Linked DNA regions of Mytilus edulis. The protein of the gene in region 3 binds, or shares a complex with, the protein of the main gene of each other region. Links are inferred from orthologs where the notes say so. Each region holds a gene or a part of one and is shown on either strand. Other genes may lie near its edges.

Region 1 (11,341 bases), on a different chromosome or scaffold from region 3:
ATGCGAAAACCCCACTCTGCATAGTCAGCTATAAAAGGCCCCGAAATGACTATTGTAGAACAATCCAAACAAGAAATTAATAGCATGATTTACGTACAATATAATGAACGAAAACCAAATATGATATATAGCAACAAACGACAGCAATTGAATAATAGGCTTCTCACTTGGGACAGGCAACTACATGATTATACATAATTTGGCGGGTTAACTATATTGCCATTTTGATGTTGTTTTTTAAAGTTCTATAGAACTAGGATAAGGAATATAAATAAACGACGTTGGACAGTCTTTCAGTTTTTAAAATACGTTCTTTGAATGAAAATTAAAATTGATTCCTGTTGTAACTGTAAGTGTTGAATATATTTTGATGGTTTTGATCGGGTGACAATACAATGTTTGTTAATGAAGAGTACAATGCTAATAAACAGATTTATTAATGGCGACTGAAAGAAGCAATAAATACTGATAAAATAGAAAACCCAATCAACGAAAGAATTCATCTAATTGTCAATAAACCAAAATGAAACTGATCTGAAAATGTATATTTTCATATAAATCTTGTTTCCTTAATTTGTTATTTAATTGGTTTTAGGGGATGCTTATTTCATGTTAAAGTGGTTGAGGGGACTTGTATGTCATAAAATCAGACATTAGGGAATATTTGCAATAATTAAATAGAATAAGATGCATTACAGAATGTCTGAAGCAGCTGAGCAGTTCTCTAATTAACCATAAAACGGAGTGTTAGATGGATATCTCGGAAAGACAATATTTCTTTCCAGTTATATCAATATCTATAATGCCGATGAACTGACATGTATGCTCATAGTATATAACAAATCTGAGAAATGTGTGATTAAGTGGTAATATTCATGGTTAATACCAAAATGAAGCAGGAATTGGACTTTCCAATGGTTAAAGATTGTGTACTGTTACCAATAACTGCGTTGAAGTGGCAACATTTTTCAAGGTTAATGACTATAAAATTGATGTCAAGAACAATTGTATTCGATATGTTTCTCTTGATAACTAAGATATGAAATTTATTTTTTTTTGGTATAAATTAACGTTGTCTCTCACAAAACAGGGATACTAATAAACGTATCGAATACAGTATTGTATCATACAATCCTTCATGTAGCAAGGATAAGGCAATTTCTGTTTTGTTCAGATATGAAACAAATCTAGCTTTTTCTTCTTTCCCTTTCGAAAACTCATACAAATACTTCATTATATATATTCTTTCCGACAATGCAAGTATATTGTAAGTATAAATTGTCTGCATGTGGTAGTGGTTTTTGATGTGACTTTTGGTTAAAGAAGGTTTTACTATAAAACATGTTACGATTGGTTTAATGTTGAACTATGCATGTTCCTGTTGGTCAAAGGTTTAATTTGTCTGTTTCTGTTGGTTGGAGGTTTTATTATGCTTGTCACTGTTGTTTGAATGTTTAACTATGTATGTCTCTATTGGTTGAAGGTTTTACTACATGTACTATGAGTGTCCTTGTCGATTAAAGGTTTTGATATGCATATCTCTTTTGTTTGAAGGATGTCTTTTCTTGTCCTTCAGTGTTGGTTTAAGGTTTTACTATGCCTTTGTCTGTTGCTTAAATGTTTTACTATGCAAGTCTCTGTTGGTTGAAGGTTTTACTATGCGTGTCCTTGTTGGTTCAGTGAAAGTTTTACTAATCATGTTTCTGTTGGTGTATGTTTTTAATACAATGCATGTCCTTTTTGTTTTTATACGCCCGTCAAAATTACGGGACGTATTCTGTTTGTTCGTCTGTCTGTCTGTCCGACGTCCACATGTCGCACTGTAACTTGAGATATGCTATGTAAGTATGTGAGATTTCAACTTTGTATTACAGGTTTTTTTATAAGTCAAAATGGACTGTTTTTATGTTATTTATATGTTTTTATATTCGATCAAAAGCTCCTTAGAGCTTGTGCTGCTTATTTGTACTTATGTCGAATCAAAATAAAGTTTATTAGAACCACTTTTCTCTAATTTTTGTGCTATTTTCACATTTCTGACCGGTGTGAGAAACATATTTTTCCTCACTGGTGAAAAATCTGTTCACGGCAAATGATTGGTTGAAATTTAATTATGACGTTAAATTTTCTTGTTTTCTTCTAAATTTGTTTATTGTGACGTCATGAAAAAGGCGAACATGCCTGATGACGTCACACCAAAAGTACACAACTTTCCTCAAATCATAAAAATCATTAGAGAAACAGATTCCACCACTGTAACTCGTGTATTATGATATTTCTCCACCCTCAACAGTTAAAGGAGTAGGTTCAGTAAGACCCCTTTTTGGCCCCAAAATATAGCAGTTTTACAAAATTATGAAATTGTTATCTTTTAGCTATTTAATGGAAAGTAGAATGCTTCTGCTACATAAATATAGGCTGTTTTTGACAATACAATGTACACATATCGGGTACTAGCATCATTTAGTCATGCTAAATTACTGAAATCTACACAATTTTAGCATTTTAGTTAAATTTTAGACGGTTTCCGTCTGACTGAAATGAAAGTGGCCGCATTCGTGTTCATTCATAATATTGAAATGTAAGTTGTATTTGATGATAATACATAACATATATAAAGGTTGAGGATGAACACGGATGCGGCCACTTTCATTTTTGACAAAAACCATCTAAAAAGTGACGTTTTTTGGCATATTTCTAAATTTTCCATATTTAAGCTTGAATCGGAGCGTTTTTAATGACTAAATCAGTTAAAAAACACTTTCACAAAAACTAAACAAATCAATTGAAATAGACACTTAAGTGTTTAAAAAATGTCCAAAATCTTTCGTCAGATGAACATGAAATTTGAGGCCAAAATCAGCCCTTACCGGACCTACTCCTTTTAATTATTAAGAAAGTTCGGCAAGCTTCTCGCTTTAAATATCAAAATTTAGATAGGAGAAATATATCGTTATACACTTTCCTCAAATCATAAAAATCATTAGAGAAACAGATTCCACCACTGTAACTCGTGTATTATGATATTTCTCCACCCTCAACAGTTAAAGGAGTAGGTTTTAAGCAATAACCATAAATCGTTTTTGAGATACGGCGCGACATGTGAAAAAAATCATTTGAAACAACTATGATTTTTTCACATGTCGCGCCGTATCTCAAAAACGATTTATGGTTATTGCTTAAAACTTTACACACTTGTTTGTTATCTTTATCTATTTAAAGATCTGTATAATTTTTTGGTGATAATTCAAAATTGTATTTAAGAGTTATTAAGGTTGTTTTTTTTTAAAGGGGGGTCACACACAAGACGAAGGACATATCATGCGCTCGTGGCGCACCTGTTTATTAAGGTTTTATTATGCATATTCCTGTTGGTTTTAGGTTTCAGTTTGCCTGTTTAAAGTTTTACTACGTGTGGTCCTGTTGATTTAATGTTTTACTTTGCATGTCACTGTTAATTGAAAGTTGAACTTCTATCATTTAGGTTTGTATAGTATTTCAAGCAACTGAAGTTATAATTTAACTTATAAAATAAAACTAAATTGTATTTTAAAAAGCTATAACTATTATTAAATTGTTTTGACAAATCAAAGCATATTTTTGTTCATTGTGTTGATTCACAAAATTACACTTTATAAATTCGTGCATTCGTTGTGCTAAACCGCAGGTTTTTAACTATAAACTGTGTGCATAAATTATCAATTCTGTTTAGAAAACACTATTAAAGTTTTAATAAAAGTTATTTAGTTGTAAAATGTATGACACTTCCGTGTCCTGATATTTATCAGATATGAACGCTGATATCCCCATATGTATCCGTGAATTACTTGAAAGGCACAAACATGGTTATATACCACTGCTTGATCTATTGTCAACGGCAGGAATTGTTCCTTTTTTTCTTGTTTTTTTTAATGACGTTAATGGTAAAACTATGTTTACTTTATTTGATAATCTGAAGAAAGACGGGATGCTTTCATAACCGGGAAGAAGATGATCGACATGCTTTATACGAAGGCACGCAAGAACATAAAAACCACTTTTGAAAGTATAAAAGGGGTAAGGACAATTTCCACTGTAAATTTGTTTTATGTACGAGAAAAGAAAATATTATTTATACATACATAGTAGCTAAAATGGCAAATTACTACCAAACATTTCGATTGGAGGTGCCATAACTGAAGATCCTCTTTAGTATGTCAGTATATATTTAATTTTTGATATCATATTGACAAGGTTTTGTAGAAATACATTTGTACAATTTATTAAATGAACAATCAAATATAATTAGAAAACAAAAATTAAAAAATAAGCAACAGAACCACAAAAAGGTTAAAGGTTAAGTACACACAGTTTTAATGACAGCAATAATTAGAATAATCCAAACTTTAAAATATTTGGTCTTGTGTATAACTATGTTTGTGTATGTCAAATGTTTTCTCTTTTTACAAAATGGACAGGTCATGCTTTTCTCTGACTGTTAATGACGTCTTTATACTAAATATATTGGATGTTGGACGTGTACTGATTGACATTTGAGTCTTAGATACATGATTTTCTTTATTATCTGTTATTGCCTTCGTAATTATCAAAGTAAATTTCATTGAAAGTTGTGATATGTTCATAACAATTATACAGCTTCATGTAAAATACAAATAATATACAAAACGGAATGCTAATGTAATGAAAACCTATAAAGGGTTCGTTCTTTATCTTTGAACCTCCAATGTCAATGCATGCCCATGAGTCGAGCTCCTCGCTCTATGTGCACCAACTCTTAGCGGGTACTATAGCGATTTCTGAAATATAAAAAAATGCTAACAAAACCAAAAAAGCGTCTTGTTAAAAGGAATTACGCACTGGGATTTAAAATCAGGTATTAATATAATGCAAAAAAAAAAGCAAAAGACCAGAAAAGACAGAAATTTCAGCCTGACGCAGCACTGCAATTGATAGATTGAAACGGTTTTCACATCAATAACATTTTTGTCCCCATCACCAAGATATTTTTTTTAAATCAAAAGCAGTCATAGCTCTGGTCTCATTTTGAAGGGGTATTTATGCTGCATGGTTCAGTCTGTCTCAAATCTAAAAGTCATAAGTTTACATTTTTGGTCTCGTGACCTCAGCAGTATATATATCGGAGGAAAAAAGTTTTTTGTTTGTTTTTTGTATTCAATAACGTGATTTTGGACACATAAATTTTCTTTTATAAGTCAATTCGAATATCTCCAGGGCAATTGTGCGTAATTTATGCGTTGAATAATTCAGTAAATCGCATGCTCTAGTGTTTTTCAATTTTTCTATTCCCCAAAAATCACAAGACAAAGGGCAATAACTTCAGTTAGACATGATAAATTATGATGTTTACCGAGGCTGTTCATGTGTTTCCCAATTCTGTTCGAAACATTTTAATTGCCTTGCAGCCTTTTTCACAAATAACTTAGAAATATGAAAATTGAAGTTCAATTTAATATAAATTCATTTTGTAACTCATAGTTATTTAACCTCACGAAATAGAAATAACATTTAATCAAACACAACCTGTATGATGGTTTTTATCAACCGAGATAGCCTGAAACTGCTTATTATATGCAGAAACCCTTGTATTCAATAATTTTCATAATCACACCCAAACCCTCAACCCAAAGAGCCTAAGAAATTACTTAATGTAAGAAATTTCTACACTTTGACACTGTATTGGTTATATATATATATTATAAATATGATAAGGAACAGTTTTGTTTACAAAAAGAATAACCAATGTTATGTGGTACAAATATTGCAAAAGTCCACAGGCACTTTAAAGCCTTTAAATTTAAAAAAAAAATAATTTTAAAATACGGAAATTTAAGTTCTTACCGGTTTTGTTGATAGTTATTATTTTCCCACCACTTCCGAATGGCAGCTTTGCTGAAGAAAAGGGCTGTTGCCGAATTTAGCCAAGTTATCCAGGTTATTGCTTTTTATTTTTCATTAACTTCTTACAACTGATATTGTCTATGTTACAATTATATCCGTTGTACTTAGCTAACAACTCGTCAGAGGTATATTTTTACAAGTTGTGTATCTGTAAAAATTACCGATGTAAACAATAATGTCAAAATCTAATATCAGATAACTTTTAAAGATAAATTCGAAGGCACTAGATAAAACATAGCACACAATATAAACAGATCAATTTGTGAAGACTGTAATTCATTGCTCTCCTTTACCCGCTATCTTTGATGAGCTACTACTTTAGATGACAGAAACTAATCCAACGCTGTACAGTACATACCTGTCAACCTCTGAAAATGAAAAGTCAGGTCATGACCTGCATTGAGAAAAAAAATCTCAGGTCATAAGGCGTACGACATTTTGCGGGCTCAATTGAAGAACAAAAATATGTTTACATATAATTTATATAGTCAATATGTATATGAAACAGTTAGAACATGTATACAAGTTTATTTCAGACTATTGTTATATTCCATAGTAGCAGACTTGGCATTCTTTAAAAGAACTGCACTTGGTTTCAGTTCAAAGCAATGCAAATGTGTATTCATTTTACAAGAAAGAAGAGCACACAGTGTATCCTTATTAAGATCAGCCCTAAACTCTGTAGCTATTTTCTTTACTAAAGAAAATGCCCTCTCACTGTCTGCATTGCTGTTTGGCAAAACCAGTAATGTTTTAGCAAGTTTTGACAAAACAAAAAATCTTGGCTTGTTAATAAAAATGTCATGCAACTTGGACATTTCTCCCCAAAATGTACCAATGTCAGTTTCAGGGGAAGTGCAAAGTGGAAGTTCATCTAATGGGGTCAACTGATAGTCACTGAACTCATCTTGTAGCTGTGTTGTCTCTTCATATCGTTACGTAGCTCAGGTAAACAGTCCTACATTTTGACTTTTGGTTACATTGAAAAAGACCGATAAAACCGAAGGTCGTATTACTTCTAAATACCGGAAACAATTCCGGTCAGAAATCCGGGTGAAACGGGTAATGTTAGAAATTCCCGGGACCCGCCGGGTAAAGAAAAACTCCCGGGTGAGAGGTGAAAATAACGGGTGTCACCCGCAAAAAACGGGTGAGTTGACAGGTATGACAGTAAACGTAGAAGTTGGCATATTCCCGCGTTAACATGCATTCCAAAACCCATTGTAGATGGGGGAGTGTTATGCCGAATAATGTCCAAGGGCTGTATCCTAGGTGTTAGATGATTGACCTTCATTTCACTGCCTAACGGCTTTGGTCCTGATAATGCTTCCTGTCATCTTTAGCACTACGTCCAAGACTCATCTACCAGTACTCTATCATCGGGGTTAGATGGCTGCCAAGCTGACCAAACTGGCCCTGAAAGCCGCCGTTGTGAAGAAAGAACATCAAAATAGTAAACATACCAAACCAAAGCATCTCATAAAACCAAGATGGCGACCTCCAAAATGGCGACCACCACCTGTTCCTGACCGATGGCACTAAATTATTCTAATGCTCACCAAATGCTTCGAGCACTGAGCCGACCGTGCGAGGGCTGTATAGCCAGTCAAGGTTGTTAAAAACTTCCATTTGTTGTCTGCTCCATGAATAAACACTGGATACAAATGTACAGATCTTGACTGAAAAGCTGTTCTGATGAGAGGCTAATTTGAAAAGATGATGAAAAGGAAAAAAACAAATTAACATACTATATATAGAATTAACCATATTTAAAAAAAAATAAGTAGATCTATAAACATGATAAACTCTTATATGTGTTTTTAAGAAGAATAAATAAACAGGTCATACATTTGTATATATATGTCACTTGGAAATGTCATTCGTGCAAAATCTCCCCTTCAGCTGTCATAGCTTAGAGGGAGATCTCCTTCTTTGAAGGTTTCAGAGGTTGGCAGGTATGATTATTAAATAATAATATATTATCGATTTTTTATAACTTTAAAATGATTTACAGAAATCAAATAAGTTCATAAAGGTCGTTTTAAATTTAATGTGTACATCGAACACGTCAGCGATTGTGATTTCTGTGCTCATCATATTGGATGTACACACTTAATTTAAAAAGTTTTTTATGAACTTACATTGTATCTGCTTTCTGTTAATCATTTATAAGTTATAAAATACATTGATAATATACTATTATTTAATAATCAATTTATAAAAGTCACTAATATGTGCTAGTATTAAAATTTCAAGTGTTATTCAGTCATTTGAGGTACCTGTAACCAGCAGAAAACAGCTCATGGCCACCGTTGTGTCGTCAACACAACCAGAAAATCCTGCATCTGCCCCCAGATGAGGGCTTCTGCTGGCCCCTAAACACTAATGTGTATAAATTCAGTAAAAATGGATGTCACATCACACTGAACTCTGAAATATATAAAAGAATCAAATTAAAAAAAAAATTACTAGACTATCAAAGGCAATTCATCAGTCAGGGGACTTACTTAAATGAGTGATTTTCTAAATCACTGATTCAAGTAACATTATATCCATAAAGGTTGGAAGTAATAGTTGCCTTTCTTTAATAATCACCTACATGTATTTAAGTAGTACAAAATAATCACTAGAAGAAGTGATTTAATTTTACTGTAGATTTAAATATATATATAGATTACTAATTTTCCAGGGACTAATTATGTTTCTAAACTTATCAGAACCAACATCTGTGTTGTCTAGGATGACCAGGTCATTTCAGGTGATGACCTTGTACTGAATCTAGGATAATGACATAAAAATCACTTGTTTAAGTATCATACCTCAATTTCCTTCTCAAAAGTCACTTCTTTAAGTATCATTATTTCTAATAACCCCCACTAATTTCAACACCCCCGAACAGTGAAATCTGAAAGATAAAACCTTGAACTTTACAGGAAAAATACTCCAACTGCTGGGAAAAATCTGTTAAGAAAGTATTAGTTCATTAGGTAAAGCCATTATTATAGCTTTTTTTCAACTAAAATAGAATTTGCAGCTAAATGATAGCATCAAAGGTATAAACCTTGCTACTTAAAGAAGCAAAAAATACATTTTTTTCAATTTTACTCAGGAAAAGATATTATTTAAACCTATGTGTTTTAAATTTTGGTAAAACTACAAAATCACATTTTGTGAAAAAACTTTGAATTTGCTACTCGAATAAGTGATTTAAAAATCACTTATTTCAGTAAGTCCCCTGACTGTTCATTACACATGGTTTATGAGTTTAATATGCTAGAATCACTTTTTAACCTGTCCATTCAGATAATCAAGTTGGCTACCGTGACATGTAATTTCAACCTGCTACATGTAAAATGGATAATCAGGATAATGGAAATTTTCCTTTCTAACCCGATTTTCATGTCAATGTCCCTGTAATATTGAAACACGAAAAAATAGATTCTTTATTGAAATGAATATTAAAATTAAGATCACTTAATTCCTTCAAAATGATCAATCAATTAAGTTATTCACTTATTTATATATATGTGGTTTTATCTTTTCTTTTAAAGGAGGAACCTAGACCTATCAAAAAGTTAAAGTTAGTCCAGAAACCACTACTGCCAGAAGTCCACCTTGATCTAACTGTAGGGACCAGCACACAAGAAGCAGTCAGTAGTCTAATACACTTAGAACGTCAGTTGTCACAGATTGGAGAAAATGCTGTAAATATTGTTAGGCAGTTGGTAGACCATTATCACAGAGAAAAGGAATCAGTTGTTAGATGGAAGATTGCACACATCCTAGGATTGTTGTCTAAACACCCACAATGTGCTGCAGATACTATAGTGGAGGAAATCATATCACTCCTGAAAACAGAAAGTAAGTAAAGATATATACTGTAGGTTCTCCCCTGTAACATTGGTGCAGTCACTGCAGTGTGGCAATAGTCCCAGGGTTTTATCCAATCCCCCAGGCCCTATCCATTTTGATATACATGTACATGTAAGTTCACTTATATTTTAGGTTTTCATCTAAAAATGGTATTTACTATATTCAGCATGTTTAGGGTAAAACCATGAAAACAGTCAGTGTGCTTGTGATTAGAGAAGATACATGTACTTATGTGTTTTACATTTATTGCCTACATGTTTGTAACATGTATATATACATTGACCATGTACATTGACCATGTACATGTATACAAGATGTTATATCCAGATTCAATTACACTCTATTAAACACACCTTCTGACATGTGAGGAGTACTCAAATTACCTTGTCAATACTTTAAATATAATATGATCATGATGGTCTTGGTCTTACTTTCAGACTCTGATTTAAGTTTTAAATTTGACAATATAAAAAAAGAAGATGTACATGTGGTATGATTGCCAATGAGACAACTCTCCACAAGAGACCAAAATGACACAGAAATTAATAACTAAAGGTCACCATATATACAGCCTTTAACACTGAGCAAAGCCCATAACGCATAGTCAGCTATATAAGGCCCCGAAATGACAATGTAAAACAATTCAAACAAGAAAACCAACGGCCTCATTTATGTACAAAAAATTAACGTAAAACAATTATGTAACACATATACAAACGACAACCACTGAGTTACAACTTACAGGCTCCTGACTTGGGACAGGCACATACATAAAGTTCATCAGTTTAACAGTTATGGTCAGCACCTATAGGTATATGAATTAATCTCCTGGAGTTCTATGTGGCGGACTTTTGGTCTTATTTTGAATATTTTCAGAGTTTATTGAATGCTAATATAAATCAAATATTTCTGCTGGTACAAAATTATTGTTTGTTGATTTATCATACAGAACATTGTTTTTAGTTTTCTCTTGAGCTTTTGATATATCACAGCTGGTCATAATTTGTCTATTGAGCTTTTGATATATCACTGGTCATAATTTGTCTATATATTTTAAGAATTTTTACATATTCATGATATTACATGTTTTTCATTGAGCCTCTAGTTTCATATGTCAATAAATGGTTGGTTCTTATGACATTTAGATATAATATATACATGTAATAAGTGTGTGTATGTTGGTAAACGGACAGAAAGTCACAGGACAAAAAGTCACAGGACATAAAGTCGCAAATTTGATAGGACAAAAAGTCACAAACAATTTGGTGACAATTGTTTAAATATATGAGAGAAATATTTTGAAATATTTACTTTTTAATACATATATTCATATTAAACTTTAGGAAATGTGTTTTATACAGTCAGCTCTGTTGTCATTTTAGAATCCCACAAGGTTGTTGGACAGTTGATACAAAGTTTACAAACAGTTGGATTATCTGCCCCTGACAATAGAGATCTGCATCTTAAGATAGTGCAGCTTGCTAGAGAGGTAAACATGTATTTACATTCATTAAATTTAACAGTAAAAAGACAAATAATTCATTTTTAG
Region 2 (11,136 bases), on a different chromosome or scaffold from region 3:
AACATAATTGTTGTTTTATTTGGTATGAAACTGCTTAAAAAAGCCTTTGAAAAGTCTTTTTGTGGTCTTTTCATGGTATTTAACCAAAAACTTCCATATAAGGAAAAAACTAACTAAGAGTACACCAAGACTTTAGTTTCTAGATGTACTTGCAATACTAGTCAAAGCAAACACAGAAAACAATTCATATTTATTAAACATAGTATTTTACACCATTCTTTTAAAAACAGTCAATGCGCAACTTTATATACCAAATATACATTGGCCGCAGTATGGGCTGTAGTATAAATTTTGCTCTATCTTTACAAATTCAGCATTTATGAAGGTTGTATTGAAACTGGAACTTGAAAATTGGATACATTACATGTTTATTACAAAAAAAGTTGGAAAAGAAGTAAAAAAGTCCCTTATAGGGGTAAATTCAGTAAATAAATATACGTCATCAGGGACCGCCCATTTAGGGGAGAGCTTTCTGTATAACACTGAAGTTATATGCTCTTCTGATTGGCAGATAATGTTTGTAATAATTATTTTTTGGTAGATGGATCAAAACTAGAGTTGAAAAAAAAAAAATATATGCTGAATGTACTAATTTTTTCCCCTTCAGGGTTGAAAAGTAATGGGGGTCAGTATAGGAATTCAGTGCGAATCTACATTGTTTGTAAATAAGGCCATGTGAATGCCTAAAATGCCGCATGACCCTATGTTTTTATTGTTGCAAAAGATAGGGCTACATTTGTACTTTCATGAATGATATATGAAAGATTTTAATTTCTAAAGGTAAATCAGGTATAAATTTATTTCCACACATAGATTAGCATTAAAGTCAATGGGAGATTTTTTACTGAATTTACCCCTTTATTTCATCACAAGAGTCTCGAATTTCCTTGAAACAGCTTCAGTTTATTTTTCACTTTAGGACAGAATTAAAATGGCTTAGGGTCGGCACTCAAACTAGGGTTGGTCAGGTAACCGTAAACAGACTCATATTTTTTGTTGGCCTTATATGCAATCTTTACCCCAAAAAAAATTGTTAATCATGAGTAGATGGGCTGCTCACCCTTATTAATCATCCTGAGCTTACATCTCAACCATGTCAACCAACTTTAAATATTTGTTTTTTTCTGTTTTAAATTCTAACTCAAAGCTATACTAACGTAATAATAACACAGTCTAGGTGATCTGTTAACCTCTCATCATCTGTCTTTGTAATGTAGGAAAAATCTGGAAACCGCCTCTGTAATTATAACAGAGATCAGATTACAAATAATTTTAAAGTATTTGGCATCATAATAGCTTGAATCTTTATGCTGATGCACCATTTACCATGCTAATTAAAATAAGATCAATATGTTGCCCCTTAAAAAGTTTGTATTTTGAAGTTTTATTATTCATATTATTTTCATTTTAATAATGCACTATAGGAAATTTCTTATCAGAACTATGGTCACTATCAGTTTCAATGTATCCTTGTGTGCATGCATATTTAGATTCTCTTTCTATGAACAATGCTGTCTAATAACCACATAACACTTACAATGTGCTGATATATTTTACCAATTCAGGAAAATGATCAGAAGAAGAACAAAGTGTTTGGCTATTAAATAACAATCTCAGAAAGGTATAAGCTTTTTGCACAAGCACAATATTATTCTAAAGATTTTTTTTATGGAAATTTCTTTATCTGCCACTGAGAAGCACTTCAATCAGTAAACTTTATAATAGACTTACATCATCATTATAACCCATGTGCATACCACAATCCATCATGATGTTTTTACCACCAATTGTCACCAAGATACAGCTCCTACCCACATCTGTAAATGGTGAAGATAAAATAGCAATAAAATAATTTAATATTGATGCAAAATTTCAATAGTCTATCATGCATGTCATATGATCATAAGGACTTCTTTTTAAAATCAATATTTTTTTGTAAGGTTAAAAGTGTATTCGTCATGTTCACTATTACATTGTTTCCAATGGATACATATATTGAGTATTTTCTAGTAAAAATGGCACCTCTTTCACGTATGGCTCTAGTTTTGTGACATTAATTCCAAAGAAAAAGCTCCAAATATACCATCTATATCAGGAAATTTGATTTTGTGTCTAATTTTGTAGTCCTCTAAATATATGTTATTTGGTCTCTTGTCATGAAGAGTTGTCTCATTGGCAACTATATGCATCATGTGCATACCACATCTTCTTTTTAAAAATAATGTCACTTTTTTAATATTGGTAAAATTATATTTTGTAGATACATTTATCATGTTTATATACATGTATATAAATATCTACATTTTGTATAATCTCTTGCTAGATATTTAGGCTACCATTGACTATTTACAGCTTGTTTAGTATTCTTAAACTTACCCTGGCCTGCACCTGCAAGAAAATGAAATAATGAATTTATATTTACGTGTACAAAAAGTAGTTAAAGTTATATATATTGTCACATAAAACAGATGCCAAATTAAGTATCAAATCTGGCATTTAAGGGGTTTTAAATAAAGTATTCATATTCAATTACCATAATCGGATCTGTATAGTACATGTATACAGATGTTAATGCTGGGAGAGACTTCTGAGAAGGGGGTGCAAATTATATATTCATGATACATGTATATGCATACATTGATTTTAACGATTCAATGAGTACCAACTAATAATAAATGCAATAAACATGATAAACATAGATCATTCTTTGTTTTAGCACTATTTTATCAACATAAATATTACAATTTATTCATTTATTGTGTATAAAAGATTATTCGTAATTTATCCCTAACCCATACAAGGGGGTCTCATTGGTAGGGTATGATCTCCAATCCCGCTCAGGTCCGTAGCCAGGACTCGACAATAACGCTTGTCCGATTGTCCGGTACCAGGGAAAAAAAAGGTCGGACAAGTAAAAGCTATATCAAGCTTGTCCGATGGGACAAGTAAAATTATTCTGCAGAAAATAAATTTGATGAACAAAGTAATTATAAACAATAAAACAAGAAGAGAAGAGAAAAATAAAGTTTTAATTTGACATGTTTACTTGCAATCAAATATTTAAAACTGGTTCTTTGTCAGGTACTTTTTAACAGGTAAAAGACATACTATTCTCGTAAACCAGTCTTACTGATCCGAATCAGTTGCAGATAACGTAACTTTTTTTTTACAAGACAGTTGTCACCAGCTCCGAAACGATTCGGCTCCAAGTTTTATTGACAGTTTGGCACCCTACGAGACATATTTAATAGACATGATTAATAGACAGTTTGGTAACACAGACATATCGGGACCAAGACAAATCTGTACATCGTTTTTCTACCTTATTCTGTTGCTTTAAAATAAATTATACCGGTATTTTTTTTTTTAAATTCACTAAATCATATTTGATCCTATGTAGTAAAAAACAATACTTGCAATACGGTGACCTATAGTTAATTTCTTGCAGAGAGTTGTCTCATTGGCAATGATAACTCATCTTCATTTTTACAGTCGCAAATGCAGTTTTACTGGCGACGCGTAGCGGAGACAGTAAAACGATATTTGCGTCCGTCAAATCAAAATTGACGGTGGCAACTCTTCAACTACAGTACTGTTATTCCGATTCTAATGCATTACAAAAAGAAAAAATGCGATAAAACTTGAAAAAATGTCTAAATTTGTCAAATAAAAAAAAATACACGAAATTTCATGAATGATTTTGGCACAAAGACGTCATGGCTAAACCTGACGTCATTCAAATGAAAACTTACAAACTGGAGGTTATTATTTTACCCGTACGCTTCAAATTCGGATAAAATTACATTAAAACGGCGAATTCGAGGTAGCTGTTGTTTTATTTTCGATTATATAGTAGTAATCGAACATTTGTTGATTTATTAATTCAAAATGGCGGGCCCCTCCTTAGTTACGCCTGGTCAACTGTGGATTTGACGGCAACTTTTAGCCAATGAAAAAAATTGTTACATCCAAATTGCATTAGAATACAAAAAAGGTTATTCTTAAGATTTTTTTGGAACAAGTTACAATTTCATTCGGACAAGTAAGTTTTGGTATGTACTTGTCCTACTGGACAAGTTGAAAAAAAAGTTATTGTAGAGGCCTGGTAGCCAGGAATTTCCAAGGGGGGGGGGAGGGGGGGTATTTGGACTCACAAATCACAAACTCGACTTTAACAGTCACAATTCGAACAGAAAGTTGACTTTAACAGTGCTTATTTGTTTTCAAGTCGTCCGAACCCCCCGGCTACGTGTATGCCGCTTATTGTTTAATAAAAATTCTGTATCCGCTCGCGATCCTCATTACCATAATAGTGCATTTTATTTCCGTGTCCCGCTAGTCCCAATAATTATGTCGTCGGGGTCTGGCAAGGCTATTTTAATTTTTCTCTGGGACGTCGTAGGGAGGCGTCCCAGAAAAAAAATTAAAATAGCCTTGCCAGACGTCATAACTATTTGGACTGGTGTCCCGCCAGACATTGTTTCCCGTTTTCATGCTTAATTATTTCACGTGTCACGCTTTAAAAAATTCTGCCAATCCTGCATCACGCATAACCCCAATGGTAGGTACACAAACAATGTATTGATATAACTGCTGACTGGCATGATATAATTATTTTCATAACTTTGTTTGGACTCAGATCACTGGTCAAGTAACAGAGAAAGCTGTGACATTTGATTAATGCTTCTGTACATATTGTGGAATGACAACATAAATTACCTAGTGGTGTGACTCGAATTTCTGTCATTTTCAAATAGTTATCTTTATGTTATGAATTTGGGAGATAGTTCTGCTTTTTTGAGCTGAAGCATGATACGTCCGGAATACTTTAACCGTATTCGCTCTAAAATTAGTCAGAACCAAGTTATGTTCTAGAAAGATTGTACTTTTATAGAATCATAAAAGATACGTGAATAAATTTGTAATTTTAAACAATATAAAACAACAACGTTCTCATGTCTGAAAAATTATACGACGGAAATGTAAAACAAGAAATTAACACAATATGAAGCAAGCAAAACATAGAACAAAACTCAAACAAATTTAATGCTCTTTTTGTATGTGAATGTCATTTTGTTTTAAAAGGGTTGGTTGTTACAGGTTGCTATTTTAAATCTAATCCTGTAAATAGTTATACCATAAAATACTCTCAAAAGAAACAAACCTGCCAATTCTTATTTACTTTATCATCGCAACAACGTTTTAACTAACGTTTTTTTTACCGTGGCTAATCAAGATTCTCTTGCTTTGTTTACAGAGACAACAAAATATTATTTCCAACAAAATGGCATCGCATGACAGTTTTGATATCGAACGACTTTATAAGTTGTTCCATAGCTGTATAAAAGATGACGACACGATTGATATGGACGAATATGTGAATGCATACGAAGAATTATCAAAGTAAATTATTTAAATGGTCAAGGCTATATTTTTACAGAAACTTTCGACTCAATTTCAAGTCCAATAATTGACATGTAAATAGATTATATGTGGAATCCGGGTCCGTTCGCCCTGATGCATGTTCGCCCTAATACCTGCTGTGTCTGTTCGCCCTTATTTTTTTTTTTATTTTTTTTATATATATACATTTGTCTTTTTGCAGAATGTTTAATATCATGAATATGAGGCAGGCATTACCTTAGTCCAAATAATTATGACGTCTTGAAAGGCTATTATAATTTTCGCCTTACTTCGAGTCAAAGAAAAAAATTATAATATGGGGACGGAGTCCCCAATAACAGTAGAAAATTCAATAAAAAAAAAATACGGGAAAATTTCCCAAATTTTTCATTGTACTAATGAACTCAAAATCGTTCAATTTTTTTTATGTCATGTTTTGAAATCCCGGACATGCGCAGAAATGTACAATGTACTTTCTTTTTCCGGTCTCGTTTGTATGAAACTTTGAGTAAAATATATATTTATCAGTCTAGTATAAAATAGGAAGGAACGCGCAATACCAATTTCATTTTTAATAATTCCTTGATATGAAAAAACGTTACCTGATGATAGCGTTTCTTTGTTTACATTGCATATGACGTCATAATTTAAATAACGTCACAACTAAAATCCCTAACAACAGAACCAAAATCGGAAACGTTACGGTATTTCCGTTTCTTTTTTTTTTAACAAATATTTAAGTTACAAAAAATAATTCATACAGACTTCGTCCCCATTTACAGGTAATGCCTGCCTCATATTAGTCTTCTGATGTTGGATAAAAGCTCTACAGAGCTTATTTTGTATTGTTATATGTATAACCGACTTTAAATAAATCTTTTATGCTGTCATAATTATTTGGACTAGCATTACCTCTGAAAGGGTACGAAGTCTGTATGAATAGGCTATATAGCTATTTGCCAATTCCCGTAATTGACCCTGTTTTTAGAGATCCCTAATTTGGTTGTCTCCCTTATGACGGACATTATTTTTTATTTACAATGGAGAGCAGACAGAGAAAATTTACCTGTGCGTAATGTGAGTAATCTTTAAGGTTTTTAAATCTTTTAATTACATTTATTTGTTGTTCAGCTAAATACTTTTGACATCAGAAATTATTTTTCGTAATAAATTAGTTAAACCGCCGATACATCACTTTCAATTCATCATGCTTTGCATTGGCAAAAGGTAACGCTTGTCCCGTATGGAACCAGTCTATGTTTGACAAAGGGAAGTAATTTGTTTAAAAAGTGTGTTATAATAGAATCAAATCGGTAATTGGCAAATGGACTATTGAGCGTATGAATTATTTTTTTTTTTTAATTAAGACATATTTTACATGTTACTTTAAAATCTGTTAAAAAAGAAACAGAAATACCTAACGTTATGATTTTGGTTCTGTTGTTCATGTTGTTAGGGATTTTAGTTGTGATGTTATTTTAGTTATGATGTCATTTTCAATGTAAACAAAGAAACGCGATCATCACTCAGGTGATGTTTATTCATATCAAAGACAAAGATCAAATTATTACAAATGAAATTGGTATTGTGTTCCTTGACTTCCTGTATATGTTACTAAATTACTCAAAGTCGCATGACAATGAGGTGTGTAATATATTTGCTATGTAATAATACAATCCAGTTTCTATAACTAATTTATTAACAAGTACATGTTTGATGGTCAGACTACAGAATGACAACATGTGTAGAAGAACTTCAATTGATCTATTTAATTATGTTTATTTAAGAACCTGCAGACATGTGAGAGTTGCTGATCTGTCAATTATAATTACTGTGAGGTGAACATTAAAACAAGGTGTAAAAAGGAATAGGATTTCTACGCAAATGCTAGAAAATTGAAAAGTCTGATTTTTTTTTATCTATTTGGAGTTCATTAGCATGATTAGTATCTTCAATGAAATTTTCGTGAAATTTTCCCTATTTTTTTAAATGAATTTTTTTATTGATTTTTCTACCTTAATAGTATTTGTATAGAGTATATTTAAGTTTGTTGAAATATTAGCCGCTTATTTTTGTTGTTGCATGTGTTTTCATGATTTTCAAGAATTGGCATCATATAAATATCTCAATATAAGTTTATTAAACTTAAGCATGAAAACAGGAAATAAAGTCTGGTAGACATGGTAGAACACAGGGAAATTACATGCACTATTATGGAAATGCAAGGCCGTAACTACCCTTGAGGCAAGTGAGGCAATTGCCTCACTAAAATTTCGACAATGATTATTTTTTTTAATACATATATATATATATATAAATATAATAGTCATTTGTTGTTCTGTCTCAACCTTAATTTCTATAACTTGTCATCATTCCTTTTATTAAACTATTCTTCCTGTATATAATTCAGCATCTCAACGGGTGATGTTTCTCGATTACATTAACCTAGTAACGATAATCATCATGGATCTTTAGTTAAAAACAGGCTCTTGCAGAAAAAGGAAGGTAAAGAAGGAATAATTCTAGTAAACTAGTTTTTTGTGAACAGAGTCTGAATATTGCATATAACTTCATTAGAACAATCAAAACACGATAAGTAGACTGACAAATAAAGTACTGGTCTTCGGAAGGGGGCAGTCCTGTCTGCGTATTCATTTCTCCGTTTCACCAACTTTTGACAAATCTATTCATTTCACGAACTTTAAACTTTCTCTTTACAGATAAATGAAATATAAATAATATGAATCATGAATGCAAGGATTAGTTTTTATCCATGTTTCTTTAACCTTAAAAGTTGAAAGAATATCCCATATTCCAATTTGATATCAATGAGGAATCGAAGAACCTCTAACACAGGATTTTGTCTTTACTTATTCGGGACTACGGAATTTCATTTCTTTATATTCGGGGTTTCGGAATCGGACACCCCCAAACCCTAACCCCTAAATTTATAGATTCTGGAACTAAAATACCACGTATGATGGTGCTCACAGGAAAGCTTAATTCCCTTTTGCAAACAAAACTGTTACTACCGATGCTGCTACCGAATTGCTGATGGAGAAGGAATTGGAAGAAGACATTGATCATTGTGTTGATGATGATGTGCTACCTTTAGAAACACAGACTGCCCTGGAACAGCTGAAAACTTGGAAAAGAGCATGCATGAGTGGCGAGAGATTGTGCGGTCTTGTCATGCTCCATGTTCATCGCCATAAGGATATCAGCAGATCAAATTATGATTCTGAAACGATTTGATTGAACCGTCCATAGAAAAATTTTGAAAACTCTACTGAATCGATGTATGTTCTATGTTCTGGCAGCAGACTCAAATCAGTGATATTTGGATGATTATCGTACATATAAATTTAAAAAAGTTGTTAAAAATTTGGTGTTTGTAAAAGTATTAAAATATGAAAAATTTATATAAAAAGTGTCCAAATTCAAAACATTATCAAACTCTCTAAAAATGCCTAGAATGCAGAATTTTGCACCATTCATTTCATACTCTCAAAAAAAAAATTCGCCTAGCTTCGCTCGGCTCAATTATTTTGCCTCACTAAAATAAGATGCCTAGTTACGGCCTTGAAATGGGTCAAGTAGGATACAGGATTCTGGCAAAACAAAAAGCGGGATCATACCATTTTTCGAGTAGAAAAGTTGGTTTGTATGCACAATGGGGATAATGTTTTTCGGTCTGTGCTTCTATCTTACAGTCCTGTTTCAGGTTCTCTAAAACATTTGGTCAAGGTAGTTTTTGATGAAGTTGTAGTCCAATTAACTTGAAACTTAGTACACATGTTCCCTATGATACATACTATCATCTTTCTATTTGGAAATGATTTATAATGTTTTAGTCAAATCTATGGCCTAATGGAAGTAACTCCTGTTATAATTGAGGAATTTATGTGGTATGATTGCCAGTGAGACAATTATAGTCCAAATGAAACAGAAATGAACAACTATGAGTCACCATATGACCTTCAACAATGACCTTAACCTTTTCAATATAGTCAGCTATTAAGCATGTTAGTTTAGAGCCTAGACATTACAAAATTTTACACAATTCAAGTTCTAAAACCAAAAGTATCATGATCATTAATCATTATTAATTTTCTTTAAAATCATTGTTATTATTGTTTTGTAGGTTGTTCGGTATTCTTGGTTCCGTGTTTAGCTTTGTGAATTCAGATGTTGTAGAAAAGGTTGGAATTTTACGAGACTATAGAAAATCTCCTGAAGCTGCAGATTATGAAACATTTGAGAAAATGATAAAGTATGAAGTGGCCAATAAGATAACAGATAATAAAAAGAAAGCATCAGGATCTAGGACATTGTTACGACTTCATCGTGCTCTAGAATTTACATCACGTTTAATGCATGATGTGAAAGCAGCTGACGAACACGGGAAGATGTCCCACATTACAAAGGAGGCTTATGATGCAACATTGTCTAAACATCATCCATGGTTGATACGAAAGGGGGTTCACGTAGCTGTTTATACCCTGCCAACTAGGAAGCATTTTATAGAGAAATTACAGGCCAAGGACCCGGTCCAAGGGTTGGAGTACTTAGGAAAGACTGCTGATATTCAGCAGAGGATATTTGATGTGACAGAGGCTATATACACAAGAGAAAATCTACATGGACTACCTTAATGTAGAACATTTTTTTAGTTTCTTTAATTTACATTAATTTTTTATTGTTTTTTTATTTTTCTCCTTTATGTTTGTAATTTTCTCCTAGTAATGTACTGTAAAAATGTTTTTGTTCTTGGAATCAATATTTAAGCTTATTGTGATATAATTTGTATGTTTATTCTTTAAAACTACAAATAAACCTTGTATAAAACTGTACTCTAGCATGTCTAGGTGCTGAAATACAGCATATCTCTAATGTCAGATGTATATGTTATAAACTAAACTAAGAACTAAAAGCTTAAACAAGACATCAAAACAGTTAAAAATAGTTATAGAAGTATTTGACTTTTAAATGTATGTAGACTTAATACAATGTTCTTTGGGACCATCTATTGCATCATAAGAATTGTTCTATTTATAGATCTGTAAACACATTATTTTGTTTTTGTCTTGTCAGAGACTGTAATTCTTCAATGCATCTTCTTCATGTTTATTTCCAGTCAACTTTCTAAAGTTCTAGATATGATGAACATTTATCATACTTGATTTTAGAAATATTTTGATCAATTTTGTTATAACAGACATGACAGATTTGTCATCAGATTGTTACTGTAATCCAGATTTTATTTATAAAATAATCAAAATTTGAATATGGTAGAATATATTTGGAGCATATTTTTTTTAATATTCAAAATTCTTTAAAAATAGTAAAATTATTATTTTATAACCTCAATGTGTCAAAAAGGGAATATAATAATAATCTTTATTGTCATATTAAGGTAGCACAATACAAAGATTTTATAACTCCAACTCCCAAGTTTTAAAATGCTGTAACTTTCTTAATAATGCTTGAAAATTTATAAAAGTGGTAGTTTTGAATAGCTAACAGATTACTCTTTCAAATTAATGCAATGTTAGTATCATGCAACAATCATGTAACCAATTATAATGTTAACTGTGTCTAAAATATTTTTCACCAAATTTACACTTTCAAATGAAATTAGCTTCTACATAGGTATCCCTAGAGGGTTGATTTTATTATATGTTGTTCCTATGGCCATTATCTACAAAAGGGTGTCTCAGATTTCAGATAGAA
Region 3 (10,846 bases):
GATTGAACAATCACAGTAAAAAATTGGTCTAGTTATTTGCCTAAATCTGCAAATTTGAAGACAGATTTGCAATTTATTGGTTAGACTGTTTAATAATATAAAGAAAACTTGGCAATTTATTGTATAATCCAAAATATTTAAACAAATATAATTTTTCTTGCTTTTAGAATCATTTTTTTCAAACGAGCCATTTAAGGGAAGATAACTCTTTTAGTAAAAAATCTATACTGGACAGATAGGGAATTTTTTTCTTTTTACTTGTAGCAAGAAAACAAGTTCGGTGACACCATTTTTTCTTTTTATTTTCTTAAAACATATTACAAAACCTATCTTTCACAATTTTTTTCAAAATTCTATCTCATAGATTTTTTTTTATGCACACAAATGTGTTTTCCCATGAACAATCTAACCAAATTTAGGCAATTTTCAACGACTCATAGCTTGAAAAATAACACGGTGACCCCTCCTTTTTATTATATATTTGAAAAGAGCATATTAAAATCTTCATTCTGGCTAAGTATAAACAAATTCTGTCTCAAAAAATATTTACTTATGATCTACCTTAAGTCTACATTATCATTTAGGGGCCAGCTGAAAGTCCGCCTCTGGGTGCACACTTTTCTCCCTGTGTTGAAAATGCCTGGTATTCCGAATTATTTTGACTTCATGTACTTATGTATGGTATGTTAATCTTCAGTGATAGACTGCTTCTTATTTGTATGTTTCTGTGGTTGCTTCTGTTTCCCAAACCCTCCTAAACTTTTTTCCTCGTATCTGATAATTTTCGGGAACGGATCGAGAACTTTTTAAATGGTCCAGTTTTCATCCATGCTGGTTGGTTGTTAGGTACAACGCTAGTGTGGCAAAGGTGGATCCTGTCAGATGCAGGGGGTCACAGTAAAAAGTAAACTTGAATTTGAACAAGATGAATCAACACCTAAACCGGTTATTGTGCGGTTGGGTAACAGTGAAAAAATGTCCAATGTTCATCTCAATAGAACTAGGAAGTTTTTAGATTGGTTTGTTAGTCATGGAATTATGATAGTATAGGCAATGTATAATAACTTGTTTTCAATGCTGTGACACTTAAAACTGACCCTAAACATTGCTAAATCCAATGTATTTTTTGTCATATTTGGTTTCTTTTGTGCAAGTGTTTATATTGGACAAGATCGTGCAGAGTTTGTGTTTCTCAGTCCTTGATTTTCTATGTTATGTTTTGTAGACCATAAAGTTTGTATTCATATTTTGCCATGGTGTTGTCTGTTTGTTTTTAATTTATGATTTTGAATACCCCTTTGATAATTAATTCTTATGCCACTCTTTTGTAACACACGAAGACTGCAGAAAAAAAGTTATAACTATAAAAGACTGATTGTAAGTATACTGAATTCTTCATGATCTATTTTAGTCATGTTAGTTGTTGTAAGTTTTTTATAAAATTGACTCCAGAACAGTGGTTTCTTTTACTTGTGTGTTTTTTTTTAAATGTAGTTTTTTTCAAAGGAAATCTATTCAAATAGGTTTCCAATTTTTACACCGACAATGAGCATGATGAGAGAAATATAGATTCTACAAGTGTGTTACACTATTTCTCCACTTAAGCCAGATGAATTTTAATATTTAAAGGCTTTACATTTTTTAAAACACAAGTAAAAAAATCAGTGTTCTGGAGTCGGTTTTGTAAAAAACTTACAACTAGAGCTTTATAAATTTATAAAATTTAACTGTTGAGAGTGGAGAAGTATTGTAATACATGGGTTATCACTGGTTATAGTGGTGTGATATGTTTCTCTAATTATTTGTATCCTTGATTTTTCAAAGATTTGCAGAATTTAGTTGTGTTTTTTAAATGTGGGTCATCATTTTCCAGAAAAAAAAAGGATATCTTCACAATTGGTTGGGAAATGTGAAAAAAGTGAAAGAATTTGGGTACACTGACCTCTGTATAACAGGAAGTGGTAAGAATTTTAATATTTCTTTAACATCAAGTCCACAATCTAACATCAGTGTTACACCTTTAAAGTGGAGTATAAAACATGGCTTGCTTGGATTGCTGGACAAACACGACTGTAATTAAAAGAAAATATCAATATGTATGTTATATGCTGATGGATTATCAAATTCATGTATATTCCATGACAAAACTTGACTATATCACTTTCTTGAATTTTTACATTGAAATCATGTTGTTCCAAAGAAATTAGTTGTCTGGGAAATGTTTCTCAGAATAGTTTTTTTATCTTTTACATGTTGCAACCGTTCTGTATTTATTTTGAATTTGGGATGTGTTTTTTTATCACCACTCAGTATTTTATTCATTTGAATTAAGGAGATCAGGTATGAACACTGACACTAGGTCAAGTAAATAATTTGAGAATAAATACATATACATGTATAATGTAATTTTATTATTCTTTTATTCACAATATATATGTGGTTTTTAGCTTGATACTAACCAATGCTTATATTCCAAATATATATGTATATGTCTCTATTATTGTTGTTGTTACCAATTATGTAAATCAATTGTATCTGATTTTTTGCCCTTTATGGGCCCTGTAATTTGGGAAATAGAAATATTCTATTCTATTCTATTCTATTCATTCAATGATTGTCGGAGTAGTTTTTAAAAAATACTTGTCAATATAAAATTATAATAAATACAAAAACTTATACCCTGCACCCCTTTTTATATTTTAGAAGGTGTTCTGATTTGGAACATCTTTTTTATTTCAGGGGAAACAAGTATTATGCAGAATAAATATATGTTCTCGTTTCTTGTTTTTTATATAGACTAGACCGTTGGTTTTCCCGTTTGAACCGTTTTATACATGTCATTTTTGGGGCCCTTTTATAAATGTTATAGCTTGCTGTTTGGTGTTAGCCAAGGCTCTGTGTTGAAGACCGTATTATGACTTATAATGGTTTACTTTTACAAATTGTGACTTGGATGAGAGAGTTGTCTCTTTGCCACTCATACCACATCTTCTTATATCTAATTACCTCTCTGTTTTTTTAGGCTCTCATGCATATTTTCTTTAAAAGATATTTAGCATAATATATAATGTCTTTTAATGTTGTCATAATTTCATTTAGGTGTTTGACCTTTTTATAGATACATGTATGCCTGGGTTTTGAAATTGACCATTAACAATGATTAATTTTGGTAACTTATCTACTTGTAGGAGTCAATATTTGCAACTTTTTAATTCAGGTCAAATATTCCTTGCTCAACACTAACCATGATAATTGACATATTGAAATACCAGGGGTCAAATTAAAGCTTTTTTGTGTACTGGCCAGTTAGACCAGTGGACTAAAAAATCTACTGGTCCTGCAAAAATGACATTCATTTGACAACCCCTTACATGACTATACTGTATAAATGATAGATTTTTACTTTTTATTTTCATGCTTTCTTTTACATATGTTAGACAGGAAAAAGAGAGAATCTCAATCCCGTTTTTGATAAAGGCTTTGATAATCTCAAAGCTTTTCTTTATGAAAATCAGAATCAATGACAGAAAAAATGTCAACATTGTCTTCCACATCATCACAATCCTCACGAAGACCATAGGGTGCCTGACTGGGTCGTCTGGAGCGCTGCCTAAAAATGTTCCACATTTCAATAGCTGGGACATTAACTTTTATTTAACAATTCACAATTTCTTCCCAGGATTATTTATATTTCATTTCCTTTTGTCAATTTCATAAACTTTATTTCAATCTTCCTTTTGAATGACATTTATTTATTTTTTTGTCCGGCAGTCCTTCCAAAAACTGATTTCCAGATAAATTTGTTAGCAAACAAACCGAAACTGCGATGCAATCAGGGATTTTTATCGACAAATTTCTACTGGTCAGCTGTACCACCAGCTGACAAAATCTAATGGTCTGACACAAATTCTACTGGTTTTGATTCACCGGACCAGCGTCAATTTCGATCCCTGTATTGAAGTCATAATTTGTCTTAAATTAAAGGGAGACGAATCTTGAAACCTACAAATTTAGACCTCTATGAGTCAAAAGCAGATTTAGACTAACATATCATGTTTACGTCTGACTGTTTATGACAAATGACAGTAACCATGGTAACAATTCTTGAAAAAATGACATTAACAGTAAATTGTTGGTGCAGATAAAACAAACCTTTTCTTTTTGATATATAAGAAAATCAAAAACTTTGTTTAAACGAATCAAGCTTAATTCTTTTCTACATGTAAAATAATGTTTTCATACCTCTGACAAACCACTATAAGGATATTTTGATAAATCACAATAAAGTTTTAACCAATACACCTTATCGCTATTTGTCCGCCATTACTGGATATTACACAGGTTCCCGTAAAAATTTAACGTCACAAAACAAAATATCTGACGCCACAATGGAAAAGTGATTGTTGTATGCGTCAAAAGTTCAAGCGGCCGGGTCAGCCTGGATTAGCGATAAGGTGTATATGATGATAAACGGTAGTCAGAAATTACTGTTCGACATCTGACAGTATTAAGGGGCATTCATATCTTCATCTTGTTCATTTTAGACTCAGTGGTCCATATAATTATGACGTCTTGAAACATGTTGTGAAAAGCTATTTCTTTTTTATTTGTGACACCTTCTTATGTCTGAGGAAGGTGTCACAGAAAAAGAAATCAAAATATACCTTTCCAGGCGTCCCACTATCTAATATGTTTTTATGAGGTTGTTATTTATATTTTTTTACATGCTCCGCAAAGGTAGTTTGATATTTAGATTTGAATTAAAATATATATTTTGTTTTTGATCTGTAAATCAACTTGCCAGCTTCATATTTTGTCTTCCAGTCAATGTGTGGTTCTTTCACTTTCGAGGGAAAATCTCGCGTCAGTAAAGTGTTTTATTTGGTGAGAAACAGAATTATAAAATGAAGATCAGAATCAATTTAGCGCTTTAGAGAACAACTTCCGGTCAAAGTGAAAGAAGAAATTGTGCTTGTTGATATATATTTTCAAAATACTTGTTAGGTGCACAAAACAAAAGGTTTGCGACGTTTTAATAATGGTTCATGCTCTTTGTTGAATAAAAGAAGGTGGTAATTTTTTGGTAAATTCAATACAAATTCTCCTAATCTGATAATTGAAACATGTGAAATAAACACTGATAAGGTTCATCATAACAAATGGACAAATATGGCAGAATTTTTAACTCAAAAATTATTCTGTGTGCAGACTTACCTGTGCAGTTTGTAAAGTTTTAAGGCCTTATATTAATATGAGGCAGGAATTACCTGTATATGGGGATGAAGTCTGTTTTATTATTTTTTTAATTCAAACATATTGATAAAAGAAACGGAAATACCATAATGTTTCCGATATTGGTTCTGTTGTTCATGTTGTTAGGGATTTAGTTGTGACGATACTTAAGTTATGAAGTCATATTCAATGTAAAGAAAGAAACGCTGTCAACCAGGTAACGTTTTTTTCATATCAAACAATTATAAAAAATGATGGGGTGTTGAATTCCTTCCTATATTTGTTGATGTGTTGATAAACATACATTTTATTCAAAGTCTCATGCCAACAAGACCATAAACGGAAGTAGATCTGGAAAAAAAGTTAACGATTTGGAGTTCATTAGTATGTTAGTAGAATGAAAAATTCGGGAAATTTTCCCGAAAATTTTAGATTTAAAAAAAAAAAAATTTTAACTGTAATTGGGGACTTCGTCCCCATATGATTAAAATATGCACTACTAGAACACTACATGTATTACTATTTCTGAAGTAGTTTGAGCCCTGTTAAGTATAATTTACTATTGTGGTAAGTGTCTGGCTGCAAAAGGCATGCCAAATTATTATTGCATCTGAACCTTGCCATTCGGATGGTAGAGAGGATGAGATTTACTGGTCAGCGTGCACACTTTTATCTTCATTCCATTTACTCACAGATGGGGAAAGGTAAAGGAAAGTCTTGTCACCCAACCTCATCTCTTCTATTCCTTGATAACTCTTTGTTGCCTTTGTTTCTTTCTCTTGATTGTAGAACTCAACTCCTATGTCACTTTTCTACAAACTTTCTATGTTATGTATGTCTTTGCATGTATAATAACAGTTTAACAGCCTATTTTTCTTAGTGCTTTGATATATATCTGTATATTTAGCTGAGTGTTGGTGTATTAGTCTACTTATCATGCTTATATATAATAATGAGTTATGATGAGTTACAGCTCAAGATACATTTGGTTAAGCACACTGAATTTCGATGAATAATTAAGGGCTTTGGATTGAAAATACATTTATCATGTTTATACAGACTTTCTTTCTCAAATTTTCACTCCTAAAAATGGCTTCAAACTTTTTGTGCAATTAAGCTGGCCATTCAGCACATTGGTTTCATCATGTTCATTATACAATTTCAATGTACAGACTTATTTTTTGGGAGCAATGCCATAGCTTAAAGATTAAGATCAATAGGCAAATTAAATTACACAAGACACAATATAGAAAACTAAACACTAAGCAACATGAACACTGACTAAAAACAGCTCTCAAATGGAGACAAATTGAATTTAGGAAGAACTCCTCAGACATATGTGTGTTCCACACTTATTTAGTTTTGTATTTGTTGTTTTCAGATCATGGCAAGTGTTGATGATACACTTCTGGTGAGACATCTCCCGTCACAGCTCTCCAATGGAGACAAGGAAGAACTCCTCAGACATTTTGGAGCAGTTAGGGTCAAAGTGATGGGCGTTAGAGGAGCAATGGTGACTACTTAAAATATATAAATATATTTACTGTAAATTCTTACATTATTACAAGGTTTATATTAATGCGAATAATGCAAAAACCTGAGTTTCCCAATAATAAGAACACACATACTTATATAGAATGCATATATCTGTACATTTGTATGTAGCTTTTCCTATTGATAATATTTATTAGTTGAAAGATTTTCCTAGATTTTTTTAATTCTAATAAACTCACCTTTCATATACTGTGAAAGTACTTTAATTCGTGGTTATCAATTTTCGTGGTTTCAGCAATATTGACATGTTCATGGATTTTTAAATTCATGGATTTAAGTTTTCTAGAAAGAAAAAAAAATTAAATTTGAAGCTTTTAGAATAGACGGTTACACTTACATGACTTACATTTGTAGTCTGGATTGAAGGAAATTGCTTAGTAAACATTGACCCTTATAAATCTTAGTGACAACACTAATTAACCCAAGATAAAGTGATCAACAAATTAAAGACCATCAAATGTGTTAATTAGGCCATAAACATGTCACCTAAACATGCTAAAGAAAACAGTAACATGAACAAATGCTATAAACATGATAAACGTATCTTGAATTGTAAAATAATTTTTATCAAAATCCAGCCCAGCATGAAATTTTTATTTCCCATATGTACTAGAACTATGAGAATATAAAATGAACACTTTATCAATACCGGAAATCTGACTTTCATCAATATAAATATTTTTATGAGAATTAAAAGATCAAAAGTTGTACAGTTTAGGTTATTAAAGATTAAATGGATATAATCCTGCATGCAGTTGTAGTTCATAGCTAGTGCATTTGCCCTGTGACTACTATCATAGTATTTTCAGATTTGGCGTTATTCAATATATATCCTCTGGATCATATATAACAGTAGTCAAACCTACATGGGTATCTTTCCATGTCTTGATTTGGACAATCGTTGTTTTATTTCGTTGGATACTTAAACTTGTGGATAAAGCCATCCTCGAAAACCACGAAATTTGGTACCCCACAAAAAAAAATACTTTCACAGTACATGATAAAGACACATGATAGATGTCAAAAATGAAACACTATAATGATTTTGAAAGTTTCAATAAGACTTTGGATCCATGATTTCACACTCAAGTAATTATAATAATTACTTTATTTAGGAAAAATAAGTTAGTACAATACATGCAATACTTATCTCCCCTGATGCCCTTTAATTTGAATATCTCAAAATACAAATGTATAACAATAATATAATTTATACTGCAATCAGCTATTTCACTATTCAGATAAAGCTATACGTATAAACGTTAGCTTTATACGTCAATGACCTCAACTAACCTATAAGCCCCGCCTTCTTACCGGAACTACTGTATTTCATCAACAACGTCACGTCACAACCAGGACAATGTGTAGTAACAATGGTCAAACTTTTATGAATTTAAACTTGTTTTGTCTTCAAATTGGTAATTTATATACCATGTTTATTAAATGTTATTATTTAAGTTCATTTTTCTTTCTAATTCCTTAAAATGTCAATGTCCTACCGCCTGAACTACGGTCATAGGGAAATACCCCAAAATGGTACCCCAAGAGGGAAATTCCAAACACTTTTTTTTTTACAATATTTATTAGGCCACGGTTTTTTAATTTGTTGGTTTACGGATTTTCCCCATGAAAAAGTCGGGTTGGTCGGTCAGGAAAAAAAAGAAAAAAAATCATCTTTGAAGACAGAAAAATATGCAAAATCAATATATATTTCACCTTTCTAACAATATGTTTGTTATGCCATTTTATCATCATTTCTTAAATTTTAGTTCAATGAAATATTATTGCTCAGCTGTTATAAACATCGCATGACATTGTCTAATAAGTTACAGTAAAAAAAAAGGGGGGTGCACGGACAAAGATGAAATTAAATCGTCATTTCAGAAACAAGAAAAATAGATTCGTGTAGCTCTTAATCAATTCCAGAAAACTTGGTGAATAATGATCTTCAAGCACGAAAACTGATAAAGAAAAAAATGTAAAAACGTCGTACGAAAATAAGTTTCAACACACGTGTCAAAAACCTAATAGACTCGTCCATTGGCAAAACGAGATTATCGGGTCAATCTGTTGTCTCGCATTCCCGTTTTTTATCCAAATGGACGATAATTTTTTTATTATCTATGAAACAAGAAAATTCCAAAGGATTTGTTAATATTCAATACTTCAACTTGATGCCTTCAACCTATCAACATTTGGACAAGTCTATTTCTATGAGATGATGCATCTTACGGACTGATGACAAATAAGGAAAACGAACTTATTGTGTAATTGGTTTTAAACACAAGTTTCGTTCCGCAAAATTATTTGTGCAAACGACATTTCAAGGTCAGTTATTATGATAATTGATTTGTCTATATTTAAAAACGTAAACTGGAAGTTTTATTTTTTCACAACAGCAAGTGTTATCAATTTTGTTAGTGATTAATGCATTTCATTTCATAAAAAAAAATTATTTTAATTATTTTTCAGGGATAATGCATTTCTTAGGGTCGGCGGGAATAAAAAAGCATGAAAAGTCAATTTTATTTTTATTCTGGAAATCGGCAAAATCGGGTTGGCGGATCCGTAAACCAACAAATTAAAAAATCCTGGCCTTACATACTTTTTTTTAATTTTTAATTTTTTATGGATTTCAGTATAAAAACTATATACGTATAGTGTCTTGAAATATGAAATTTATTTGTATTTGGCACAAAACAGGGGAAATGCTCGGTAGAACCTCGCATTTCCCCCGTTTCTAAGCCTCATACAAATAAATTTCATATTTCAAGACACTATATGTATATTGTCTAAATATACACATACATACATACATACAAACAGCTTTTTATGCAACACAAATGGCAGAAAATAACAGAATCGCTTCATGAACATATTTTGTTAATTAATGATATACAAGACAAAATTAAATATATGGATTTTTTTTAATATAGATATTTTCCATCTGATAATCACATTTTTTTCTTTTTTACAGAAACATACAGCATTTGTTACATTCTCAGACAGTATGCATGCAGCTAAGGTTTGTTTGTTTTCACTTGATAAAATGTAAAATATGAAACAATATGTACAATTGTACATGGTGTGTATGTGTTGTTCCAAAATTATTTAAAACATGTATATGAGTGATTCTTTAAGAACTTTAATCAGATAGTTGATTGCCAAATATCCATCATTTCCATAAATATAAAAAAGAAGATGTGGTATGATTGCCAATGAGACAACTCTCCACAAGAGACCAAAATGACACAGAAATTAACAACTATAGGTCACTGTACGGTGTTCAACAATGAGCAAAACCAATACCGCATTGTCAGCTATAAAAGGCCCTGAAATGACAATGTAAAACAATTCAAAAGAGAAAACTAACGGCCTTATTTATGTTAAAAAAACAAATATGTAACATATAAACAAATGACAACCACTGAATTACAGGCACCCGACTTGGGACAGGCACATACATACAGAATGTGGCGGGGTTAAACATGTTAGTGTTTGTAAAAATAAATAATTCAATTATGTGTTTTTTGCAGGCATTAAACAGGTTGCATCAACTTGAGGTATTAGGATGTAAACTAGTGGCAGAATTTGCTAAGAAATCTCAGCAGAAACATTTCCCATCCATATCAGACAACCAAAGGTAGGAGAAAAGATCTACTAATTTAATGTTCTTATATCTGTATCTTATTTTAAATTTATATAAATGAAATCTGAATAAAGACTGTATATGTACAAACGTCACAACAGGATTCTTTTGACATCAAGTACCAATATCATAGTGAATGTTGTGAATGTTAGTTCAACAACTGCAATTTCTTTGGTCAATCATAGTACAATGTAAGTCATTGAATTTGAAACAGGTGTCCTGTAATAATTTTATTGCTTTAATAGGGGAAGAAAGGTCACAGAAGAGAAACTGGACAAGAGAACAGAAGATAAAACACAGAATCTGCCTTCAGCTGATACAGTGTATAAAAAATGGGGGTAAGATCATACCAAATAAACCTTATCTTTTTAAGTACCGTAAAAGTTCATGTATTATACGCATTTATAAATA

Evidence for each region.
Region 1: the proteins of integrator complex subunit 9-like (region 3) and integrator complex subunit 4-like are in contact, whole or in part, in a cryo-EM structure (PDB 7SN8), measured with the Drosophila melanogaster proteins. The link is inferred for Mytilus edulis from reciprocal best matches to the Drosophila melanogaster genes IntS9 and IntS4. Residues at the interface, in NP_648838.3 of Drosophila melanogaster: Arg2, Arg23, Met88, Lys90, Met91, Asp93, Glu96, Asp98, Arg173, Lys176, Asp203, Leu205, Gly206, Gly500, Glu501, Ile502, Arg504, Val544, Lys545, Asp546; in NP_572488.1 of Drosophila melanogaster: Arg105, Leu108, Val112, Thr115, Asp116, Asp147, Thr148, Ser149, Lys153, Glu156, Gln193, Met196, Arg200, His231, Lys234, Gln264, Asp265, Ser266, Arg269, Tyr302.
Region 2: the proteins of integrator complex subunit 9-like (region 3) and integrator complex subunit 11-like are in contact, whole or in part, in a cryo-EM structure (PDB 7SN8), measured with the Drosophila melanogaster proteins. The link is inferred for Mytilus edulis from reciprocal best matches to the Drosophila melanogaster genes IntS9 and IntS11. Residues at the interface, in NP_648838.3 of Drosophila melanogaster: Glu128, Tyr198, Asp199, Glu200, Lys201, His230, Asp333, Ser334, Ala337, Tyr338, Asn340, Ile341, Glu344, Gln351, Val354, Tyr355, Leu356, Pro357, Asp358, Asp359, Pro360, Arg509, Lys510, Leu511, Asp512, Arg513, Ile514, Tyr515, Ile516, Ser518; in NP_651721.1 of Drosophila melanogaster: His94, Lys97, Ala98, Pro135, Thr137, His139, Gln140, Ser141, Glu149, Lys151, Lys274, Thr277, Tyr278, Lys280, Met281, Phe282, Ile283, Thr284, Trp285, Phe294, Val295, His296, Val450, Lys451, Ile452, Pro453, Val454, Asp455, Ala456, Ser457.

Annotation. Positions count from the first base shown.
Region 1 is NC_092346.1:94,727,322-94,738,662, reverse strand, and holds the start of integrator complex subunit 4-like, read left to right. Parts: upstream 1-5,830; 5' UTR 5,831-5,898; coding exon 5,899-5,952; intron 5,953-9,470; coding exon 9,471-9,780; intron 9,781-11,174; coding exon 11,175-11,281; intron 11,282-11,341. UniProt on the Drosophila melanogaster protein: Component of the integrator complex, a multiprotein complex that terminates RNA polymerase II (Pol II) transcription in the promoter-proximal region of genes.
Region 2 is NC_092356.1:73,122,582-73,133,717, forward strand, and holds the start of integrator complex subunit 11-like, read right to left. Parts: upstream 4,821-11,136; 5' UTR 4,748-4,820; coding exon 4,720-4,747; intron 2,389-4,719; coding exon 2,377-2,388; intron 1,818-2,376; coding exon 1,732-1,817; intron 1,238-1,731; coding exon 1,158-1,237; intron 1-1,157. Other genes in the region: ceramide-1-phosphate transfer protein-like, read left to right, coding at 5,285-5,403, 9,548-10,058. UniProt on the Drosophila melanogaster protein: RNA endonuclease component of the integrator complex, a multiprotein complex that terminates RNA polymerase II (Pol II) transcription in the promoter-proximal region of genes.
Region 3 is NC_092357.1:9,156,563-9,167,408, forward strand, and holds the start of integrator complex subunit 9-like, read right to left. Parts: upstream 4,905-10,846; 5' UTR 4,811-4,904; coding exon 4,802-4,810; intron 2,071-4,801; coding exon 1,943-2,070; intron 1-1,942. Other genes in the region: RNA-binding region-containing protein 3-like, read left to right, coding at 6,617-6,745, 9,764-9,811, 10,323-10,429, 10,681-10,773. UniProt on the Drosophila melanogaster protein: Component of the integrator complex, a multiprotein complex that terminates RNA polymerase II (Pol II) transcription in the promoter-proximal region of genes.